2 linked regions of the Arabidopsis thaliana genome follow. The protein of the gene in region 2 interacts with the protein of the main gene of each other region in a pairwise test. Each region holds a gene or a part of one and is shown on either strand. Other genes may lie near its edges. The genes, in order: PSF1 and PSF2.

What was found.
Region 1: the proteins of PSF2 (region 2) and PSF1 interact in a two-hybrid assay, tested with the Arabidopsis thaliana proteins (one large-scale study listed by BioGRID).

The regions. Positions count from the first base shown.
Region 1 is NC_003070.9:30,150,697-30,162,914, forward strand, and holds PSF1 (partner of SLD five 1), read left to right. Parts: upstream 1-8,344; 5' UTR 8,345-8,779; coding exon 8,780-8,854; exon of another isoform or gene 8,855-9,103; coding exon 9,104-9,171; intron 9,172-9,263; coding exon 9,264-9,377; intron 9,378-9,460; coding exon 9,461-9,632; intron 9,633-9,733; coding exon 9,734-9,928; 3' UTR 9,929-10,367; downstream 10,368-12,218. Other genes in the region: GLYI7 (Lactoylglutathione lyase / glyoxalase I family protein), read left to right, coding at 282-559, 661-766, 992-1,234; AT1G80165 (cotton fiber protein), read right to left, coding at 1,590-1,805; AT1G80170 (Pectin lyase-like superfamily protein), read right to left, coding at 2,950-3,234, 3,313-3,429, 3,513-3,621, 3,687-3,768, 3,844-4,051, 4,127-4,147, 4,236-4,406, 4,516-4,647 and 1 more; AT1G80180 (uncharacterized protein), read right to left, coding at 6,361-6,777; AT1G80200 (uncharacterized protein), read left to right, coding at 11,248-11,432, 11,699-11,933, 12,016-12,218.
Region 2 is NC_003074.8:3,967,715-3,980,504, reverse strand, and holds PSF2 (PSF2), read left to right. Parts: upstream 1-6,064; 5' UTR 6,065-6,338; intron 6,339-6,608; 5' UTR 6,609-6,640; coding exon 6,641-6,688; intron 6,689-6,767; coding exon 6,768-6,842; intron 6,843-6,931; coding exon 6,932-7,046; intron 7,047-7,146; coding exon 7,147-7,246; intron 7,247-7,336; coding exon 7,337-7,367; intron 7,368-7,451; coding exon 7,452-7,541; intron 7,542-7,640; coding exon 7,641-7,793; intron 7,794-7,880; coding exon 7,881-7,901; 3' UTR 7,902-8,325; downstream 8,326-12,790. Other genes in the region: FDM3 (XH/XS domain-containing protein), read right to left, coding at 1-246, 326-415, 498-679, 808-1,347, 1,461-1,836; AT3G12545 (Bifunctional inhibitor/lipid-transfer protein/seed storage 2S albumin superfamily protein), read left to right, coding at 2,073-2,310, 2,684-2,955; AT3G12540 (ternary complex factor MIP1 leucine-zipper protein (Protein of unknown function, DUF547)), read right to left, coding at 3,258-3,575, 3,674-3,781, 3,858-3,944, 4,021-4,080, 4,154-4,253, 4,340-5,067, 5,143-5,346, 5,447-5,560; SULTR4;2 (sulfate transporter 4;2), read left to right, coding at 8,614-8,910, 9,081-9,129, 9,234-9,435, 9,524-9,692, 9,792-9,857, 9,945-10,052, 10,156-10,263, 10,469-10,534 and 9 more.

The sequences.
Region 1 (12,218 bases), on a different chromosome or scaffold from region 2:
AATTTGAGGGGGCATGTATGTTTGTTTAGTTGATTCACGTGTTCTTTGTGTCTGAAAATTCTGAATTTGATGATTTTGAAAAAGGAAAAAAAGATACGAGGTATCCTCAATTCCAAAAGGATGAATGATACAACTCATATATACAAGATTATAGTAAAAAGAAGGGATGCATATAAAGAAACATAGACATCATCGCCATCCATCCTCAGATCAGTTCCGTAGTTTACTGGATCACGACACACACACATATACACGTGTACATATAAGCCATTCTTATCAAAATGACCACCTTCCTCCTGAATTCTCATTCATTATATAGGCGTATATTTCGGAATTCTAAGTTTTGTTGCTACGATCGAGCCAGCGTTCTGTTTCTGTACGTCTCTCTGGGTAAGAAAGAAAAAATGAAGGACGAAACGGGAAACCCTCTGCATATCAAGTCTTTGAATCACATCTCTCTTCTCTGTCGATCCGTCGAGGAATCCATTAGCTTTTACCAAAACGTTTTAGGGTTCCTCCCTATTCGCAGACCTGACTCTTTTGATTTCGATGGCGCGTGGTACATATATACATACTTACCTACATGGAGATATTATATATATATTTCTCTTTAAGAATTGTTAAATTTCGTAATTATATACTTATTTTGTGTGATTATAGGTTGTTTGGACATGGAATTGGGATTCATCTTCTTCAATCTCCTGAACCTGAGAAATTACTCAAGAAAACAGAGATTAATCCCAAGGATAATCACATTTCTTTCCAGGTACCCTTTTTTTTTTTACTTTATCATTTTGACCCCACACCTTTTTAAATGCCTCCTCGCTAACCCCTTTGTTTAAATTGGAGCTCAATAAACTCCTTTTAATTGTGATTTGTGAGACCAAATGATGGAAGTTTTAGCTTTTCAGAGGGTATTAGGCAGCCAAATGTGTTGTTTATTAGTAGTACAGAAATATATTTGATAGAAGAATGTGTGTGTTGAATGCAGTGCGAAAGCATGGAAGCAGTGGAGAAGAAGCTCAAGGAGATGGAGATAGAGTATGTGAGAGCAGTGGTTGAAGAAGGTGGCATCCAAGTGGACCAACTCTTCTTCCACGACCCTGATGCCTTCATGATCGAGATATGCAACTGCGATAGCCTCCCCGTTATCCCTCTCGCTGGAGAAATGGCTCGTTCATGCTCTCGACTTAATATCCGCCAGCTCGTTCAGCCAACTCAGATCCACCCCTAGTTCTCTCTGTCTTCCCTAATTTCTGTTTTCGTAAATAATTTCAAGTGTCCATGTGATTGTCTCTTTGATTGCGTGTGAATATAATTGCATGTAATAAACAGCTAGTGGTAAGTTGATGTGATTCCTCAACCGGGAAAATGACCATTTGCTTCACACTCTAGTCTCTCTCTACCATTATTTGAGATACCAAACTCTCTCTCTCTTTTGTTGTTATGCTTCTAAAACATGTGGTTATATGATAGTAAGAAACCTTATAATACAATTGAAATCGCCTAAGAAGCTTAGAGAGATAAGTAACATATGTTATCTGAAACACGTGACATGAGACATCTATTTTTTCTGTAAGTGGAATATATCAGAGAGCTCCTCTAGGGAGGATGTTATCGCACTGAAGAGAAAGTTGTCGCCGGAAGTTTTGGATGAAAGCTTCGGCGCATTTGTCGACATCATGAATCTTAGGCTTGCTCTCTAGATGACGACTACCATTTGTAAGGGTTGTCACCGATTTTCTCTTCTCTGTTATGACTTTGGAGTTGGTACTGTGCACAGAAAGTGGTTGTAAGGAACTCATTTTCCTGATCTTTTTATGTGTGTTTTGGGATAGTTGGATGGTGGTGAGAGTTCTGATTTTAAGGGCTGTGTATTTATAGGATTGTTTGTATGCCTAAGTCTTTTTTATCCCTACGGAAGCAACTCTTGAATTATTGAAAGGAATAGATAACTAACTAATAAGAATGTTGAATTTAAACGTTTAGATAAAATATCGCTTATATTATTAGTAAACCATATCCTTTCAACACTTATCCACTTAAATCTAAACCCAGTAAGTATCAGCATTTAATTAAACCAAATATCTTGCAACTTCTGCTTTTGTGATATTCTCTAGATCATATTTATATATACGTTTCTATTTAAATAAGGAAACGAAGCATCAAATCTAAAGGTTCTCTTTGCAAAAGGGAAGGCTTACATGAAATCTAACCTAACAAGTGGAATTGATTACTCTTAGTCATAAGGCTACAAGTAGAACCTAACGACTAGAAGATAAGCCACCGAATCCGAAACTCATCATCGTCCACCGCCGTCGTTTTCCTAGCTCCGATGACTTATTTATTCTCTTAAATAACAGATATACACAGAATGGGCCGTTTTTCATATTCATCTTTGTTTCGATATATTTATGAATGGGCTATTTTGACCCAATAATTAGCCCTTTAACGTTCAAAAGGCCCATACATATTCCGAGATTATTCGTTTTAGTATGTGGCTATTACAGATGTACCCCTTCTATTTTTTGTTTATAAATCATTGCACGTGTTTTGAATATTTTTCGTAATTACATGTGTTCCCCTATATTTTGGCTCATTACATAAATTTCTCATAGTTTTGATTATGCATTAATACTAAGATTGTTTCAGCTATTTTCTCTAAGTTTTTTTGGTTACTGATCCAAAGGTTTGACTTGATTTTTCTCAAAACGAGTTTTCTCTTGTCATAAATTATATAATCTTCCCAACAACCGTGAGAGAGCTCTACATCCATCGTATGGCTCAAAAGGTAATCTTGTGAGCTGGAAATGATTGAGTGCAATAAGAGAGAAACTCAATGATAAGGGATGGACTGGTGAACTGAATTTGCCAAAACATGACTATATCATAAAAGCATTTGGCGTGTGCACAAAAACGTGGCAAGATTTTCAATCTGAAAACATGAATTCAAAGGTATGCAGATGTGATCCCGGACTGAACCGACTGTTCTAAGAAGCTTGTGTCATCTGAAAGACAAGGAGGAGGGTACACTTGACCCGAACTAGAACCATAAGCTTCCCAACAGAAAGACTCTGTGAAACCATCACCGTTTGATGGTTCAAGATCAATGTCTTGTAGAAGTATGTTGCGACATGGTGAACTATCGCTGCAAGAGATCTTGATTGCTTCCTTTGATGCTGAGGTGCCCCTCACGTGAACAAATGAGATGTTCTCAATGCTAATAGCTGATGTCTGCAGTTTTTGAGTTTTAGACAATTTTTCAGGTTCAATATTGAGCTACAAAAGAAAGATTTGGCACAAGTTCTTTACCTGATTCGCACACGGCTTCCTAGAATCGCAGTAATACTGATCGATGATGATGGGGTTTGACACATTGTTCATCTTGATGTTCCTAAAGATAATTTTTGAGACCAAACCACTCCCTCCCTGGTTGAAAGAAAGAGGATGCAAGCAAGTTAAGTTCTTTTCATCTCAGAACGTAAATGGGAACTTTGATAAGATGGAATCACCTGCCATGTTTTGATCCGAACACCATTCGCAGTGTCAGAGATGATGGCCGTATCAACTGTTATGTCTCTAACTTCTTCCCAAGATTTTGATTTTCCTAGGCTTCCAATGCTACAACAACAATTTTATATTAGATTATGCTTAGTCTGTTTCTTATCTGTCTTGGCTTTGGTTACCTTATGCCATGGCCAGGACCACATATAATGTTGCTGATGGAGATCTGTGTAGAGTTTTTAACTATCGAAATGCAGTCATCTCCTATACAAGAAAAACAGATCCGATTAATCAGCAAAGAGCAAATATTAGATTCAAGTTCTGGTTAAGTACACTGACCTGTGCTGACAGTAGTGTTGTCTATAACGATACCACGAGAGACGCTTATGTGAATTCCATCAGTATTGGGACTAGTAGCAGGAGCTATGACCTTTAAACCAGAGATGGTCACACGGCGACAGCTGGTTAAGGCAATGTGCATTTGTTGACTATCAATCACATTGAGGTTCTCAACTCTCATATTCTTGCACTTGTGGAATGTTAAGGCCTACAAAACCAACATAGTCTTACTTTAATAGAGAGTAACCACACCACCAATAAAGGAAATCAATTGGATGCTTACCGTTGGAGCACCTCGACAAGGCTGCAAAAGAAATGGTTGAAAGAAAAGTGAGAATTCCCTTTTACTCTCTGAAGATAACATGTTGAGAAAGAAAAAAGAGGCAACTAACGTTGGAATGATTGTGTTTGCAAGATCTTTCCCACCATTCTTGCCCCATCCCGTTAACAGTGCCGCCTCCTTCAACAGTTAAGCGGCTCAAACCATGGAAATATAGCCATTTTCGGCGGTTAAGACCTTCCCAAACATCTGGATCATTGGGAGCAATGATTGTACCAGAGATCTAATGGCCAAAAAAGAGAGCAGAAAGCAATGAAGACAACAGAACAAAGACAACAATCTGAAAATATCCACAAAGATTCTAAATACCCCTGTGGAAGGGAAGGTTTAACCTGGAGTGTGAGTCTTGCTTTACAAGGTCCAGAAAGATCAATAGGCCGAAGGAGACAAGTGTAATTTTCAGGCACCAAGATTCTGGTTTTGACTTTGGAAGAACAAGCTGTCTTCCAAGCATCTGCAAACGCCTGCGTTCCATTATCACCCGACACAAATTATATAAGTATCTACCGTTGCTGTCTGATTTCCTAAATCCTACCCATAGATTCAAGATTTCACAGTGAAAAGAGGTTTCTCGAGGGTTTAGCGAATCGTTACTTTAGTGTCGTCGGTGACGCCATTGCCTTTGGCACCAAAATTGCCAACGTGGAGGAGCCGTTCGGATCTGGGTCGGGTCGAGCGCGACTGTCTCCGCGGGAGCTGGAGGAGCGATTCGAACGAATTCGCGTTTGCGGTCAAAGCGAGTGAGGAGGCTACGACTAGTAGTAACAAAAGAGTGACAAGAGTACCGCCGCGTGAATAACTCATAATTTAGATTTTTAATTTTTAGGAACCGAATGGATTTATAGACATTAAACTCAAGATACTATAATTAGGCTTATGTATGATTTTAGAATAAACAAATGAATATAGATAGAGTCTATTTATAATCAGAATTACAACAGATCTAGATTCCCTCCTCTCTACCTTGAGAGTGAGATTTAGTTTTCCTGATTGTAGTGATTATGGTGAAATGACGTTATGTTTAGCCACAAAGAAAAATGGCAAGATAGTTTCTAGTTTTCAGGGGATTTAGTAATGACATTCTTTGAAAATTTTCCATACATTATTGATTGATTAATGTAGGTGATCAATCATATAATCAAACAGAAAATTGCAAGATGAAATAAATGTATGTGTTTTGACCCAAAAAAAAAAAAAAAAAAGAAATAAATGTATGTGATAAACCCTTTTATCACTAATTTAGAAATAAAAAAAAAGTTTGATGGTTATGGGCTAAAGCCCAGATAATCAGGGTATTATATGTTGCACTAAACTAAGCCCATATGATTACGCCCAATAAAACTTTTACAATGGATGGACTATGTAAACCTTCCAACTTTCAAGAAACATTCTCATACTGGTATATGATCACTATATCTATATCTCACACCTCACGCAAACTAGTAGTTATTTACGTATCAAACAAATAAATTAAGTGTTTATTATTGGTTGCAAAATATGTGTATAGTTTTATTTTTCACTTTTTTTTTTGCAAAGGCTCCAACTTTTTGGAAAAAAAAATAGCAGTGGATGGGTGGGAACTGTGGTGCCATGCTTGATTTGGACATAACACAGAAGCGAGTCCGTGAGGGATTTGTATCGGCTGATGAAAAATTAAAATATATTTAATCAGAAATTAGAGATGAGAAAATGGCATTGGTCCTTTATCCTAGGAATGAAGAATCTGATGTTGTTGCAACTAATTTGTCAGAATGTCAGGCTCAGGTCCACTTTAGCCGCCGCAGTCAGCTGCCCAGTTTTGAATTCATTAAGATTATCAAATTTAATTACTCGATGGATTAATCATAGGAGACGAAGAAGATTGTTGATCCTCTGCTTTAATCTTACTTGGAAATATTTGGAATTCTCTCGGGAAAGAAAGAGAGATAGAATAAAACAAGAATATACATGAAAATCTAAGATCAGTCTGCAACAAAAACAAAACAAATATAAACATATATATAGTCTCTGAGTTTAAACAGTTTTAACATTAAAGCACAAACAAAAAAACACAAACAAAAACAGAAAGAAAAAGATTCATAAGAAGCAGTATAAGTATATATACTCTCTTTTTGTTTTGTTTTGTTTTCTCATCTTTGTGTGTGTTCTTCTTCTTTACTTTAGACTTTAGTTCATGCCTATCTGGATCTACGCTTCGCTGGCCTTTTCCTCTGATTAACCTTCTTCCCCGGCTGTTTCTTCCCGAAGGCAGAGCAGCACCCAAACGCCGACAGTCTCGGCGACGGCGGGTCCACCGCCGGAGACACTCTCCCTGTGTTTCGATGGTGGCGGATGGCTCCTCCTCCGTTGGATCGACTCCTCTCCATACCTCCGTCAGTTCTGATAGGTTTGAGTCCTTCTCCGGCGATAGGTTTGGTTGTCTGATCCTGTACTTCCGACGTAATCAGCTTGGCCTGTTCGTCCTGTTGTAGAGTCTCGCCTTTCCGGTCGTTGGCCGCTTGTTGGCTTAGCTCGGCGATGAGACGATCGTCCCAGACTATACCCGAAGAGCCCTGTCGACGGAAAGAGATGGTGGATCTCTGAAGACCCGCCATGGACGGCGCTAACTGTTCCTCCTCCGTTTTTTTCTTCTTCTTTTACTCTGTTTTCGTCGTTTTTGATGTGTGTTGCTAAAAGTGGTTCATCATTGTGTTTCAGACTAGTTCATTTCTTCCTCCTCTTTCTTATCTCTTTATTAGAAGGCACTTGTGTCTTTTCTAATTAATTTTCTTTTGTCGTCTTATTATTTCAATTTTATATGTTTTTTTTCTTCTGGTTCTCGAATTATCCAACCAAATATAATCGCGATTATCATGTTTAGATGCGTAATCATTGTATTTTATTTGTTACGTATTTTAAACGGGAGAGAAAAAACTGGGTCAAAGCAGCGGGTAATTATGGGAGTAGAATAGTACAAACAACGTTTTTGGGTGGTATGTGTTGAAATTTCAATTATCTTTTTTTTTAACATTAAATTTAGCTATAGCCACTTAATTATCTGCCAAAAATGATTATTTTTCTTTTCACGTTTCAGGCAAAGATCATCGCATAGCATATAGTTTTATCAACCATAATCCAGCATGGCTTAATTTTTTTTAATATTTCTTAAGGAAATCAAGCGTTGGTGACTCGTCGTTGTTCATGCTTGATTTGGTTAGTTCAAAGTTGAAACTTACAAGTATTAGTAGATGACTGATTCATCGAGTTTTAAAATAATAATCACGCAAAACTCGAACCTAATATTTCCTGAAATATAATGGCTCAACTTTGAGAGGTGTGGATTATTTTATTTTGTAAGATATCTTGCTATATGGCTTGCTGGACCATCCCATTTGTGTAATGTGGAGACAATCCATTCATGTGCTACTTTTTTCATATGGACAACAAAATTTGCGTGTTCATATCGTAATTAATCCCCAATTAAATCTACATCGCAAATCTAATATACCCATGCATTTCAAATCTCGCTACAATTATGGAAGTCCTTGAGTTGATTATTGAAGCAGCTAAAACGTAAGCATGCGAAGAAAACGGCATTTAGCTTTAAAAATTTGATGATTGTCAGAAAGAGAAAGCAAATAATTGGAAAAATAAGAGCGTCTTATCCGTAAGTGTAGATTTGATGGAACACCAAATATTTTCTATCAATTTTTTTTGGTGATGGTTATTTTGGCAAAACCAACATGATCAACGGGTTTTTTTTTTGTTAATTGTTAGCCATCTAAAGATATAGTGCATATAAACAAAACAAAATAATAAGAATAAAAGAAAGTGACACAATGTCAATCGCATCAGTACCAGTCAAATGGATCATCCTTATCCTCAGACCCAAAAGATTTACTTACATTAGGGAGTAGTATTCGGATACATGTACACGCATATAACTTCCAAATGTTGAAAGATGTATAAAAACATGTTAGACATTTACCAGTGACTTAAAAAAATATAAGTGATTTATGGTAGTATATATCACACTATATTATGAGTCATGACACTCAAATTCAAAATCCGTTTAGTACAAAAGGTTACAAGTCTAGAATCGATTTTTGTAATTTTTTTAGTATATATGACATTGGTTTGACTGTGTTACAAAGTCAAAGTAAAATCCCAAAAAAAGAAAGAGGAATATTTTGGTTCTGAGAAAAGACATAAAAAAAACAATAGAGAAACCTTGTAAAATCCCGCCAAAATTTTCACAGAACCCCTAAAAAAGTTTGAGTGTTGCCGCCATCCATAGATTTATTCCACCATCTTCATCTCTGGAAATCCTTCGCCGCCGCGAGAATTGACATTGTTTTGATTGCATATAAATCTCCGCAACAGTATGGTACGTTTTGTTTAGATCTACGGTTTTGTTATCATCCGTTAATTCGGCGACATCAGCAACGATTTGCTTCATCCACAAACCGAATAGGTTCGGTTTAAACATAAGCCTGGGATTTGAGTCAATTATTTGCATTTGCCTACTTTTTTCAATTTTCTGGGCACGCCAGATGTTTGATGAATTGCTCGAATAGATAGATGTCAAAGTGAAGCGAGGAGACCCGCCGATTCGACATGTACGGGAGAAAAGGGTATCAGCTTATCAAAGATTTTGCCACCGGAGAGAAGGGTCAGCTCAAACCTTTCAACGTAAGACTTCAAGCTCCCACCTTTATGACACTAAATCTCTCAATTTATACAGGCTATTGAAATTTTTGAGTATCTGTAATCTAACGTATATCAATCTTGCAAGTTTGGCCAGTAGGTTTTGATTATAGGTGACGGAATGTTAGCAAATTTCCAGTCCTGGGTTGATAATATCCAATTCTGTAATTAGAAAGTATTATCTTGGTTAGCTATGAGGTAGATTAGTTCTTTAACCTCTTGTATTTCTAACAGAGCAAACTCTTTGATGAAACAATCGAAGAGTGTGACCAGAATCACCATCTTATCCAGTCCTTGATAAGGTATTGATCCCCTTTTTTACACTGTTGCATTTTTTCAATCCATCACAAAAGACTTACTTCTGATTCATTGAGGTTGATGTTTCCATTTACAGGAAAATGCAACAAGAAGGTTTGGATGTTCAGAACAACAGAAACGCTGACCACTATGGAGCACTAATTCACCACCTTGCTTTGATCCGGAACAAGCGCTGCCTCATGGCTTATGTGTGAGAACCACGTTTCCTATCAGTAACACTATATCTGGACACTCAATTTCTTAAAAATAGCTGCAATTGGTGTCGCTATGCAGGTACAACCGAGCAGAAATTGTGCGTGATTTGGCATGGAGAGTAGGGCTTGAACTTCTCGACCTTCCCTCTGAAATCCAAGAGAAGCTCACTACACTAGAGAAGGAATACTTCAAAAACCATTCGGTTGCTCTAAAATCATACATGGGAAAAGTAGGAATCGAGTTGAATGTCGTAAGTCCTCTTTCCACCACCCTGGCTTTTATTAATTAATTGGATTTTTCTTGTTTGGTGGACTTGTAACTAGTAATCTCCTCTTGATCCATTTCTTGAAGGATATGGTCCCTCCTAAAGATCCTTATATCAAGGTCAGAATTTTGGATGATATTGATGAAGGAATCGTGCTGAGTGACAAAACAACAAATTTTGCCCGTCATTCTATGCATTTCCTCAAACGTACTGATGCGGAACCATACATTGCTCGGGTCAGTCTTTTTCGTTATTCCTTCCCTAAAACTAGAATGATCTAAAGCCCATAAACTTCCACGAACTGAGAAATTCAAAGAATGAGCCTTGCTCAAATTCGCAGAGATGTAGATAGAACCTTGATTACAGCCTTCCCTAGCAGGTTTAATAGGAAAAAAGAAGACTGCTTAAGATAGATTATAACTGAAAAAACGAAACTATAGAATTCCTGAAAGATCTGAATAGTGATGCAAATAGAAGTTTTAGGTTTAGAATATGCGTGAAGTGTAATCTGAAGAATTGACTTTTGTCACATTTCTTGGTACCGTCAAGATTACATAAGGTCGAAACATTTCATAAACTGTGAGTGTATTGGATTCTTTGGTTTTCCATGTGATGTTTGTCATAGTATGCCAAAGGAGTTGCTAAGCAAATGCAGTCTGATTCTACTGCCTAGCTTAAAAGGGGTCTCGTGTCCCATCATTTGGATAAAGAGTTTCTAATTGTTGAGATGTGAATGGGATAACAGGGCCAAATGGAGGAGCTGACAGGATGATTGATCTAATCAGAAGCTGTGGTGGGCTCAGATGAATCACGGTCGGGTCTGTGATCAAAGAATGTAAGCTTACTTAGCCTTGTATAATTGTAAGACAGGAACATGAAACCAGAAACCTCATACTCAAACTCATGTAACAATTATTTATCTTACAAAGTTACTTCTGTAGTGCATAACATTCACTAGCAATAATGCAGTTTTGACAAGCTCAAAATTACCTTTTTTCCAATGGACAATCTTTCAAGGCTTCAATACTCAGTCTTTTTGTTACTTGCTGGCTTTTCACTATAGAAGTGAACCTGCAGCTAAAAAGATAAGAATCTGCCACAAATGCTGCAGAAAAATGAGAATATGTCATCTACAAAACATACCTCAAGATTAGCTTGTAAGATCTGAATAGTGATGAGGCATTTACTCGAACGATGATCATTGTCACATCTCTGATTAATGTAAACGATAAACGGATTTTTGATGTTTCCATATAGTTTGATATTGTCTCTTTCCTTAGGCGTTTTCAAAACCATAAACATAGGTGAATGTTATTTACAATGTCTCTATAGTTATGATTAATTTGAGTTGCTACTCATCTTGTTTCTGAAAGGAGGAATTCTTGCATCTTTTGAGGATTAGTTTTTTGACTTGCATACAGAAAATGTGTTCTTAGTCTCTTGCCTTCTTAGTTGTTACCACCACTGCTTCGTCAATATTTTATTATTGGATTCACAACAAAAAAATTCCTCTTTATTTTTTATGAGAAAAGGGGAAAAAACACTTAAAACCTTTTGTGTTGACCAGAAAAAAAAAGAGGGATAAAACGTGGGGGTATTAATGGGAATGGGGATGTTCCACATATTTCTGAAATTTTTTTCCCTCTGCTACGAAACCTTTGAAATTTGTGTCATCGAAATCGAAACCAAAATGGATCTTTCGAAGAAGAAATGGGCTTCGATTATCTCCGTCATCGCTTCTTCTCTGTTTTCGCTCCTCATCGTCTTCCAGATTCCTCTGTTCAGGTATCATCATTTCCAAACCATTCATCGCAATTTTGTCATCTGATGAACGCAGAAACCAATGCACTAACTAGTTGAAATTGATGGCAAAATTCACCAAATTAGGGTTACTCTGTTCAACAATGCAGGGGCGTTATTGGATTTAGATGATCGTAAAAAGACAGATAGCATTCTATTAGGGATTGAAGAAATGTATGTCTTAGACCATTCCTTGTTAGAGAACAATCTATATTTGAATTGAGTGCGCTTTGTTTGTTTATATGTTGCAGAGTGGCGTGCAGGAACAAGAGTTGTGAAACTCCATTAGAGGTCATATCCTCTGAGTTGATTGCTACTGATTTGATTCCTTCTTCTCTTGTCAAGACCCTCCTTTATCCTGGTGCCATTACCAAGTCTCTTTTTGCTGGCTCCAAAATCCCCAGCTACCACCACTTGTTTCAGTTTTACAGTTTCGACGGCATGTATCGCACCTCCTCCTTTGCAACCGATATTCATCATCTAGAGGTTTTGCTTCTTCCATTCTCTCCATCCATCTGGTTATAACAACACCTTTAGTCCAACAATGTCAATCCAAAATCTGCTTCAGGTGTTTGCTGGGAGTTGTTTGTGTCTTCTTGGAGCTTTACTCAACCTGTTCAAACCCACAAGAATAACCTTCATTGGAACGCTTTTGATATCTTGGGGTCTTATCAGAGACATTCTTCTTCTGGACTCTGCTCACGATTGGATAAGCCCCCACAGAAACTCTGTTCGTGTCTACCCAACACTGTTTCTAGCTTCACTTTCTGC
Region 2 (12,790 bases):
CTTCCGCTCTTGAACAACAAGATCTTGATTGAATTGATTTAAGTGTGCAAGCTCTCCTTCTGTCTCACTAAGGTCTCTGAGGAAGGTCTCCACCTTGTTCACAATTTCAGAACCACTGTCCAATTCCACGAGTCTCATCACGCTCAGCTGACTTTTCAGTTGCTGGACCTCCAGTTCAAGCTCCTGCTTCTGATCAAGCTGCCTTTCTAGTGCAGCAATTCTCTTATGAAGCTTTTCCTTTTGCATCTAAGGTTAAAAACACGGTAGGACCCTGTCACATAAAGTTAAAGAGCCAACCTTTTTAAAGAAGGAAGCATTCCCAGACCTTGTGATCTACAGCCAATCTTTGCGCTTTCTCTCTGGTCTTTTGTTGTTCCAAGGCAGATAGTTGAACATAACTATTTATAGCAGCATTCTGAAAATAATGTCATTGAATTTTAGAAGACGAAAGAGGCAATCCAGAAATCAGTTTAAGAAATGAGCTTGTTAGCATATACCTGTTCAAGTTCTTTTGCCACTATTTTCCTCTGCGTTTCATTCTCTGCCTCACGTTTTGCCAACTCCAACTTTCTAATTTCAAGTTCCTTTATCTGAGACTCCAGCTGCACCTTTTGCTTTTCATGATCAGCAAAGATCCTATTGAAATGATCAGTCGATTTTTGTTGTCTTCCTGTCAGATCTTCAGATGCAAAACGGAAAATGTAACGCGGATATAAACACAATCTACAGAAATATGTATAGCTGGGTGATGCAACAATACTTTTTCTAAGGGGATATGAATCTTGAAACTAGAAGGACAAATCTCACCTTCACTGTAAGCACGGAGAATCTTTTCTTTTTCTTCAGTCTCATACTTAAGTTTAACTGAATCCTGTGAATATTTTATCTGTAATTTCTTCAACCGATATTGTTTGTTCTCAACCATAAAGTTCAGACGCTGCAAAAGCTTTTGGTCTTTCCTTGCCTCTTCTTCTGCAAACCTATAAATACTTTTGAGGTCACCCATCTTCCGCAAGTTTTCTCCTAAAATGTTAGCCCTGTAGTAATCATCAGCATTGGCAAGCCATGCATAAAGGCTCGAGTCAGTAGCACCACAAAGCCAATCCTTTTTCCCATGCCCATCTCCTTCATAAGCCTTCTTAAACACCAAAGCATCTTGAAGTCCATTCCAGTCTCTGTTAAATTCCACTATTCCGGTTCCCGAATGACCGAAACGGTCCCACACAGTACGAACTCTAATTGGGTTGAATCCTCTTCGGATTAATTCATCCTTAAGTTTTGGTCCACTCTCTCCAGTACAAGACCGACCATCTTCTGTACTCGTCGTGGGAATATTAACCAAAACTCCTATCCCAGCCACACCACAGATACAACTTCGGTTAGTAGAGAGGCTATAAATCCAAATAGTGCTAATACTACGATACTTGTAATGACATAGGAGTATGCGTCATCATCATTACCTTTCCAAGGCCACACAAGTTTCTCGAACTGAGCATCATCATAAATTATAGGAGCATCGCCGGTTTCAGCAGGAATGAATGATGTTCTGGCTTTTAAGCGCTTAGATATAGTAGAAGTAGCGTAATGAGCAAGATCTTTAATAAGGTATTTGGCAAGAGCACGGTGACTAGCCTTCTCAGTCAAACTTCTTTTCTTGGATTGGCTATTACCAACTCCAGAAGCATGCTGAAGAATGTCAACATACAAACCAACCTTCTTCTTATTATCGGGACAATAAGGACACAGGAAAGTCCGGTATGAGACTTTCACCTCGAGCTTTCCACTCTTGAGTTTTTTGTACAGATTTTTCTCAAAATCACTCAATTTGTTGTTCATCACCGCCTCGCGTTATTGTTTTACATCTACGAGCTGCATAATCTAACTACATTGTAAGTAAATGAATTTAGCCATCATTATCTCCACAGGAAACAAAAAACACTTGAAACCTTACATACTTGGATCTAAGACAAAGTGAGTATGAAACATTCTGAATAGTAAGTCTATGATTCAGCTTGATTAGATAGATCCGGAAAAAATGTTGACTCCTCTACTTAACACACTCTCTATGTTGTATGAAACATGCATGTCTGATTTCTGAAAAAATTATGAATAATTGGGGTCTAATGTCTTACGAAATTTCAAAACTGAAGAAAAAAGTCGGCATCAAAACGCGCATCCCCAAAACCAAGAAGCAAATTGGGAGAGAAACGATGAATGTCAAAGCAAAGCAGACGTTTAAGAACTGTACCAGAGAAATCGCGTGTAGAGAAGAAGAGATTCAGCTCGAAACTTCAGCTGAGTCTGGAGATCGTCAGATGTTTTGTTTCCAAGTAATTTCGATTTCTTTTGGTTTTTTCTAAGTTTGTTCCCATTTTGATAGAGAAGCAGCAAAAGTACTTGGAGAGATATTCCAAGAAACCTCTGTTTGTCTTACACGCGCCATTGTCGCGCGTTGAAGTCGTCGCGAGAAAGAATTTGTTAACCGGAGATAAAAAATTGTGATTATTCGGTTCGGTTTAGGAAAGGCTTTTATGATGGGTGACTTCTGAAAAAGTCAATTGTTCAAGCAGTGCTTCCAATTCCTATTTAAAATTTACCTAGAACAAAACAAAGAAGGCATGAACCAGTTTAATTTTCTGCAAAATTATTTATCTTTTTGTTCACTAGTTACTAAAATAATTAGACATGAAGATTGTTCCATTGATGCTCATTGCCTTCGTCGTCATACTCTTGTCGGCGGCTCCGATCAAAGTTAATGGTGATGAGATGATGGGCAGATGCATGCATGAGATTGCAAATTGTTTAGTTGCCATTGATAAAGGCACCAAATTGCCGAGTTACTGTTGTGGAAGAATGGTAAAGCCACAACCATGTGCCTGCAAGTATTTTATCAAGAACCCTGTGCTCTTGCCCAGACTTCTAATTGCTTGTCGTGTTCCTCATCCTAAGTGTTAGTTAATATCTACAGATTATACATTTACAACAATAATATAGCATACTTAATTATTTTGATCGGGATTTGTAATCTACTGATTTGAATCCAATCTAGATTTAAATCAAGGTTTTATATAGTTAAATGAAGCACTTTTATATGTATCACAATATGAATGTATTGTACACTTTGTAGTTACTATTTTGTTTGTTTCCATTATTAATCAAAATTCACTGTGTAACTTCATTCTCTTAAAACACACACACATATATAGGACAATCGTCTTTTCAAGGCTCCAAATACTAGAAATTTGAAGGATTAGATTTTACAATGCCAAGAGATAACGAAACTCGTATTCGTGAGACCTCACTTCTATCAGTTTTTTCAATTGAGATTCACTTTTCTTGTTCAACCCCTCCATCGCTGTTTCCTTGAGCTGAAAGCAACGTTGGGCTGGTGGTAATTGGCTGCATATCCATTCAATTAACGAGCCTTCATCCTCAGCGAAATCCCGTAGACGTTTATGCAAGAATCGCGGAATCACAATCTTTTTCCTTCCCGAGACACCGATGGAAGCTTCTAGATACTCTGTTCTTGCTTTGATTAGTTCGTTCACCACATCTTCTGCTGTATAAACTCTCAACTGTATCATGTATATAGGTGATCATGAACAAAGATGCTTTGTTAGTTACTACCGTTGAAGCAACACTTATCATATTTGAAGAAATTGAGTGAACTTACTGCAGGTGAAGACCAATCTCCACGACAAAGCACGAACATTAGGTTTGGCTCTACGCATCTGAATCCGTAGCGTGTCTGTATTCTCACTTCGCTTTCACCGGCTGAAACCTTTTTATTCGGATAAAAGAAACATTTTAAAGATCAGTTATTACAACTTCACAGGATGATATATATGAGTACTTACAGATTCCCTAGGTTCGCATGGACTCTGCAAGATGGATCCTTCGATATCTAGAGCAGACAGTTGTGTACCTCCCACGTCAATTGTTGCCTACAACACAAGTCAATTTTGTTCATTAACTTAAGTATGCGAAGTTTAAAGATGTTTCTTGTTTTGTATTAGTTACCATTTTGAGAATGGTCAGCAGTTTTTCCTTTGATGAAGGTAGTCCGTGTTCCAAAAATCCCTGCAAACAAACAAAGTTATTTCCGAAATCTTGACTTTGCTTCAACTAAATATGAATTGAGTCATGGAATTACATTCATAACGCAGGCGTTGTAGGTATTGATCCAGAATGCCATCTTTTTCTTGTGGTTCAAGAAACTCAAATCCACTTTGCTCAACTTCTCCTTCAAAACCCTGCATGTGTGTTTAATTATACAGAGATCATGAAATTCTTGTGATCTCATCAGGTAAATAAGAAGGAAATCTGAATTTGTAAGTACCTCAAATTGACAAGAGAAGTGGAGCAATCGGATAAACGGCTAACATCAATGGAGGTTCGAGTGATATGGATGAAGTTCTTGTATTCTCCTATGTCTCTAAGAGAAGTCCCCATGACAGCTCCATATGGATCAAGATTAGATGCGTTATGGTCATACACCGATTTGCGTTTGAAAGAAGCGTTCTTGAGGTGTGTGAGGCTCAGCTTTGAAACAGTTTTTGACCCTTCTCGCTCACGCGATGACCTGTTGAGTTCCAGATAGATTCCCATCAAGCACTTCACCAGATCTTCCGATACTCCATTTGGTGTCGTCTCTTGCACATTATTCTTCTCTTGTGTTCTTGACATTCCATCAGAAAAAGTCGAAGAATGGATTCTTGATGAGAACTCCATGGTTGATCCAATTGACGCATGAGTACGTGGACTGTTCATTTGAATATCCTTGACAACATGATGATCTCCATAACTCTGGGACTTTGATCTCTGTTTTAGATCCTCAGATCTCATCTTTATAAGGTCATTGTCAGCGTCGCAAGGAAGATGATTCTGCCTTTGTAGTAGTCTCTTAGGGTTCATCATCCTCTCTTCTTCTCCTTCATCAATACTGTCTTCAAGTTCTTTGTTCTCTTTTTTCTCACTATACACATCAAGTTTCAAGTCTTGGATTCGTTTCTCAAGACAGAGTATCTCTGCCTCAACCGTCGCAAGCTCCTCTATTAGCTCTTGAACCTATACAAACTCAAAATCAATAAGTTCCATTTTATTTCATTTCAATCTCGGAACTGTGAGTCTAATGTGACTTACCTGAGGAGGAAGAAGCAATAAAGAGAGACGAGGCTGAGACATGACGGGACCACGATGCATATCACGTAGAGCCTTGTTTAAGGCTTGTTCGTCCTCTAGCTCTCCTTGCATTTTCATCACTTCTCTTTGAAGACTTCGCTTTTGCTTCTTCTTGATCAAATCATTCTTCTCTTCTTCGCTCTTATGCTCATTCACTTTTGATGGCTGCAACAAAACCGATAATATGATATAACTTAGGTTTCCATATGTCATTGTTGGGATTCCAAATTAATATGATAGGATTATAAATACGAGTTTGACTTACTTGTTGTTGAAGGGAAGGCTGGGGGTGACGACGATGATGATCAAGAAGAGACGCAACGCTAGCGCCAGGTTGATCTTTGGTTTCGTCTTCCACAAGTAAGTCTTCCAGTTTCATTTTCGTGTTCTTTGGAGAGTCGAGAGAAACTAGAATCAAATTTGGTGAACCATATTACAAAAACAAACTAATGTAGCTGTGAAGATATGATTAGGTGATAAATAACAGTCGTGCCTGCAATCAAGTCTTATGTTGTTGATTCACCTATTGGTTTGGGTCTTTTTAAAAAAAGATTAGGAGAAAGTCGTCATGACGTGAAAGCCATGAACACAAAAGAGTTTTATTCTGGTTAGAGATGATTTTTTTTAATAAAACTAAAACCTTACCTTATTCTACAGCACAACATTGCTTTACCATCTCTGGTTGACTAAATATAATTAGTGGTGGTGTGATTCGATTTGTTTGTTTTTTCGACTAGTCTTTATAAACAAAGTGCTATCAGTTAGAATAAAATTGATTTCGTTTAAAATTCCGGTTTCGGTTTGAGTTCGGTTGAATTAAATACCGGTCTAACCGAAACCTATTGGAGTTATTTTAGTTTCCCGCTACACTATCATCGGATTTCCCGCCATCGTAGAGAGCCACAATCGGAAAGTCGAAACTCTCTGCTGTGTCTCTCCCTATTTTGCTCTTCTTCTTCTTCTTCTCCTCCTTTATCTTCGTTTTTTCTTTCCTGGGTTTGCTAAGCTACATCCATTTCCTTCTCTTCGATCACAGTGGTTACTGATATTTCAATCTTCGGGAGTTTCGGGCGTAGGGGAACTTCATTTACTGTCCGTGTGTAGAATATCGGAAGAGATCGATCTGATCTTCCAGGAATCACACAAAATCTAACCAGGTAAACTCAACTTCATATCACTAATCAGGAACAAATGATTCTCTCTTACTATATCCGGCGTTTCGTTTACAAGTATGTCCTCAGAATTTGCGAAATTTGATTGTTAGATTTGATCATCAGATGCTTTTAAAGGTTTGCTGTTTCATGATGTTGCTGAAATTGGAAGTTGATATGTGCTAAAAAAATAAGGAGGAACTTTCTGTAGAGTGTAGATAAAGTGTTTGATTAAATGTCTCTACCAAGTATAATTTTTATCACGCTTGCATTTAGGTCTGGAAACTGAGATTTCTTGAGATACATCAATGGCTGGCCAGACTGATCCTCATATTTCACTGTTTTCTCCACAAGAGGTCTTTATTCTCCTCTTTACTTGTATGCGTTTCATGTTCTGTCTGCAATAGTTTAATTGATTAGCTATATTCATACCAGGTTGAGTTTATGGCAGAGGACGAGCTGGTCGAGATTGTTCCTAATATGAACATGGAGCAACTCAATTTCATCAGTGTAATCTCTCTTGTTTTATACAATCCTGTAATCATTTCCCTTGTAACCTATTTTGTTAACCATGTGATTAATATGTTAATCAATGACAGGGCGATTTCGGTCGGTTCATTCCTCAGATTCCGACAAAGGTGCCTCTGTGGCTTGCAGTGGCACTGAAGAGGAGAGGAAAATGCACTTTCCGGCCTCCGGGGTGGATGTCTGTTGGTAAGACAATTTCAAATTTAGCAGATAAATTTCAAATGTTAACGAACATTAGGTGCTTAAGTGTTAACTGTTTCTTGTTGCTTCTTTGTTTGTGAACTAGATAATTTGACTCAGATCTTGGAAGCAGAACGTGAATCTCAGTCGACATTCCAGGCATTACCATTTAGTTACGTGGAGATTGCCAGACTACTTTTTGACCAGTAGGTTCTTAGACTCTTCTTGTTTCTTTGCTCGCCCTTACATTTATAACATCCAAGAGTGCTGATGAGTATCGATCTCACTTTTGGCAGTGCACGTGACGATATTCCAGACATGTATATGGTAATTTCATACATCTTAATTTGTCTCCCATCCTAACTATGTGTTCGAATTAAGCTTTTATAGCCGTTTATGAATTTTGTATAGGTGAGATCCCTAGTCGAGGACATCAGAGATGTACGGCTTCACAAACTTGAGACTAACTTAGGATCATTTCAAGGTACATCTGCAGTAAAGGTAATTGTTTTTTATTGCTACTTCTTGACATTAGCTTTTTCTCATTACCTCTAAAGAGTGATTTTTAACAATAACAATATCTCTAATTTGAGAATGTAGATCTCTAATGTATCGGCAATGGAAGTAAACATAGTACGCCCATTTGTGATAAGAGCCTTAGAAGCATTTTATAAGCATGACAAGCCAGAGGCTGATGTAGACAGAGACACCAGAAGTAGTAGACAACAGCGTGAAACCAACAATGAACCAAGGGTAAGGCTCTTCAGTCTTCACACTTCTCACTCGATTTTTCCCCCTTTTTTTTTAAGACAAATACAAACCTCAACACATGTTTTGCAGAGACCTCTAAGGCAACGCTAGGTAGCTTCCACGCCCTTGCCTAAGTGAGTAGAAGTCAGGTATCTTCTGTGCCAACGTTGGTCGAACTCCCTGAGAAGTTAGAACACCAGCAGCATGTATCGGTATCGTTAATATATGACTTGTTTCTCCTGCATTGTGGTACATACTCCTTTGATATTAGCATCTTTTATGTTGTGACGAAAAGTTCACTTTAATGAACAGAAATATTAAGATGGCAAACGAGTTTTATGGGTGAAATGGTCACACGAAGGATCCCATATGTTTTCATTTCAAGTATGTGGGCTGAAATCGATCAAACACTTCTGCAAAATGAGCTCAGTGTTTTTTTTTTATGTGATACACAATTTACTGGAGAGCACAAAAGGTTGAAACATACGAACTCATAAACCAGCTAGTTTAATGTGACAATCTAAGTATGAAAAATGATTGAATTTTAAAACTGAAAGAATGATGAACCTGAATCATGACAGGATATTTAGAGATGGTACTGTTCAAGTCAAGGCTTATACTTAACAGTAATCAACGAAACATACTGATTAATTAAGACACGCAATGATATGATTAATGATCAAGATAAAGTTATGAATGTAGCTGCCATATCGTCCTTATCCATCCCAAACTGGCACTACGCTATGCTCTGTTTCTTCATGCTACAATCAGTGATACGTCTTTCTTCACGTTGATCACATTCTTCTCTATCCCACCAATTCCGATGTCCCTCGCCGTCAAGGATCTCTCCACCGCTTCATCCTCTTCATCTAAGGCGATTCCGGTCAAGATCATTCCTCTCCAGTATCCCGATTCCACCTCTTCTGATCCTCACTGTCACTCCATTCCCTTTAATGATTTCTTCTCCCGATGGACGGCGAAGATCAAGCGCATGACGTTCTTCGACTGGATTGATGCAATATTTCCTTGCTTCCTTTGGATTCGGACTTACCGGTGGCATCAGTACTTTAAGCTCGATCTTATGGCTGGTATCACCGTCGGTATCATGCTTGTTCCCCAGGTCATTTTCTGTTTCTTCATTTCCGATTGATTGTTGATTCTATCTTCCCTGAATTTATACCATCTAGAGATAAGCTTAAGTGAATCACAGGAACTCTAATGAGTATGTTTGTTCTTCTTGTTTAAGTGAGTTTAGTTTCTAAAAACTTCTGTTTTGATGGATTTGAGCAGGCAATGTCGTATGCAAGGTTAGCTGGGCTTCAACCAATATACGGTCTATGTGAGCTCAATATGAATATACCCTTTTATGAATTCATCAATGTGTGTGAGAGATACTAAGCTATTCCCACTTTTGCATGTAGTTATTAATCTTGTTTGGTGCAGACTCCTCATTTGTGCCGGTATTCGTGTATGCCGTCTTCGGTTCATCCCGTCAGCTTGCAGTTGGACCTGTAGCATTAGTTTCCCTTCTCGTTTCTAATGCCTTGAGTGGAATTGTTGATCCATCTGAAGAATTATACACTGAGCTTGCCATTTTGTTGGCTCTTATGGTCGGAATATTTGAGAGCATTATGGGGTTCTTGAGGTATTTATAGTCTTCTCTTTGTTTGTGCAAGGAATCCTGTATTTTTTGTAGTGTTAGAACAAGTTGTTCGTTTGTTTTTTCAACCCAGGCTTGGATGGCTTATTCGTTTCATAAGTCACTCAGTCATTTCTGGATTTACAACTGCTTCAGCTGTTGTAATTGGGTTATCCCAACTGAAATACTTCCTAGGGTATAGCGTTTCTCGGAGCAGCAAGATTATGCCAGTAATTGATAGCATAATAGCTGGAGCTGATCAGGTCTGGTCTTCAGATTCTTAATGGTGTTGCAATTCCTTTTGGTTCAACATACCTTCTATGCCTTACTTGTATAACTTCATCTGAATTTCTGTTTTGTAGTTTAAGTGGCCACCTTTCTTGTTGGGATGTACCATTCTGGTGATCCTTTTAGTAATGAAGCATGTGGTATGAGCCTTGTTCTTCAGTGTGTCATTAGGATACTTCTTATGTTCCCTTACTTTTATTATGCTAAGGCATCATTTTCTGCGGCAGGGAAAAGCAAAGAAGGAACTTCGGTTCATACGAGCAGCAGGACCGCTCACAGGTCTTGCTCTTGGTACAATCATTGCAAAAGTGTTCCATCCACCTTCCATCACACTGGTCAGATTGCTAAAGAATGAAATTCTTATATTTTTCCCTATTGAAGCTACATTTTTTGTGAGTGTTTTCCGTAATTGATTGCAAAGTTTTTAGGATTTCTCAGGTGGGAGATATACCTCAGGGACTTCCAAAGTTTTCTTTCCCAAAAAGTTTTGATCATGCCAAATTACTGCTTCCAACATCGGCTCTCATTACTGGTGTTGCCATCTTGGTGAGACATCATTGTCATTAACTTTTTCCTGGACTTACGTGAGTTGCAGCTGAACCTAATCATGAGAATCTGTAAATGGATGGATATGGCTGAGACATGGAGTAATTTGACTTCCTGAGAAGCAGAAGTGGAGTTTCTTGATTAGTTTCAGCTGCAGTATGCGCATGTTTTTGTGTTTTCTGATATGCTAGTTCGACTTATCCAGGAATCTGTAGGTATTGCGAAAGCACTAGCCGCGAAAAATAGATACGAATTGGATTCAAATTCAGAGGTATAAACCCTAGAGAATAAAGAAAATCAAGTGCAAGCGGCTAGCCCAATTCTTACCATTAAATGTTGTAACTTGTTCTTTTAATGGCTACATCTTATGGTCATTGAGAGTTCTGTCTGTTTTTCCCGTGACTTGGCAGTTGTTTGGTCTTGGCGTTGCAAATATATTTGGGTCACTATTCTCTGCATATCCAACTACAGGTACGTAATCTTGACTGTTGAGATTAGTAGACAACATGTAATGTGTGTTTTCTATGATAAATTCAAAACAAAAGGTGATAATATTTTCTAAGTTGTAGCCTGAATTTGATGTATCTGTTAATTCCCTAAATGTGTCATAGGATCCTTTTCTAGGTCAGCTGTGAATAGCGAAAGTGAAGCCAAGACTGGTCTATCAGGCCTTGTAACAGGAATCATCATTGGATGTTCTCTACTGTTCTTGACCCCAATGTTCAAATTTATACCACAGGTAGGTCTGTGTTGAGTATTTCTAATTCCAGTCCTGTGCTCTCTTGTTTTTATTTTTTAGTCTGAAACTCTGGAGAATTTTAAAACTGAAATCTGGCTTCTAATTCCTGTCTGTTTCTCAACTACGCAGTGTGCTTTAGCAGCAATAGTTATCTCTGCTGTTAGTGGTTTGGTAAGTTCAAATAAACCCACCAGAAAAGAATCTGGGGTGTGTACTTATTGTCTTTGGTTATTGAGCAATATATATTCACATTTATTCTTTCTGGATGTTTACCATATTAGGTGGACTATGAAGGGGCAATCTTTCTGTGGCGTGTGGACAAGAGAGATTTTACTCTTTGGACCATCACTAGCACCACCACTTTGTTCTTTGGAATAGAGATTGGGGTCCTCATTGGTGTGAGTATGCTCATACTCACTCAGCTTTATTTCTGTAGCTGATCATATCTCTTTGAAATTAAAAGGAGTGATGATGTTGAAAGTAGTATAACCACCTACATGAATTGTGCAACGCTTTTAAAGGACTCACAGAGTTGTAATGCTTGGAATTTTTCAGGTTGGTTTTTCACTTGCATTTGTTATACACGAGTCTGCAAACCCTCATATAGGTGAGATAAGTTTCTGTTCAATTTGCTTGTTTTGTTTCTCAGAAATGGTTTTCACTCATATCCTTGATCACATACCATTACATATGTTTTGGCAGCTGTCTTGGGGCGTCTTCCAGGGACCACTGTGTACAGAAACATGAAACAGTATCCAGAGGCATACACTTACAACGGGATTGTGATTGTTCGAATCGATGCTCCCATTTATTTTGCCAACATAAGCTACATCAAGGACAGGTGAAATTGACATTTGGTTCCTGACTTGCTTTCTGTTATGATCCACATAAAGAATCAACACAACAACACCATGTTTCGAAATTGCAGGCTACGAGAATATGAAGTTGCTATCGACAAACACACAAGCAAGGGCCCAGATATGGAGAGGATCTACTTTGTTATCCTGGAAATGTCTCGTAAGTCCAATGTTTCTTCTATTCACAGTTCGAAACTTACAGAGGTGATTAATCTAATCGACAATGGGTGGGATGTAACGCAGCTGTCACATACATCGACTCGAGCGCTGTAGAAGCTTTAAAAGATTTGTACGAGGAGTATAAAACAAGGGGCATTCAGGTGCAAACCTGATATCATCATCATTATTTAGTACTTGTTTCTAAGTTGTCAATACCTTGATGATTAGTTGGTTTTCTATGGATCAGCTAGCGATTTCGAACCCAAACAAAGAGGTTCTCTTGACTCTAGCAAGAGCAGGCATTGTGGAACTTATTGGCAAAGAATGGTTCTTCGTGAGAGTACATGACGCAGTCCAAGTTTGTGTTCATTACGTCAATAGACCCACAGATGTAGAAGAAAGCAGCAAACCAAGCTTATGGAGAAGAAGCGGCCTGAAAAACTCATCGACCTACACTGAAGTTGAATCGAACATAGTTTTAGAGGAACCATTGTTGTCAAGAGAGAAATAGAGACATTGAACACTTCGATTCTTTTTACAATAATGTAATGTATGTATCAAATAAAGCATTCACTTTGGTTGAGAAAAATATGATTCCCATTTCTCTGTTTCAACCTTAAAAAACTATTTCTTATGTAATGTATAGAAAAGCACAATAAAAATTGGAAGTCATAAGATTTATTGATGTTAAGAATAGAATAATAGTTTGGCAACCAACAGAGATAATCCATAAGACGATCAAATCAACCAATCCTGGGACATCTGGGGCAAT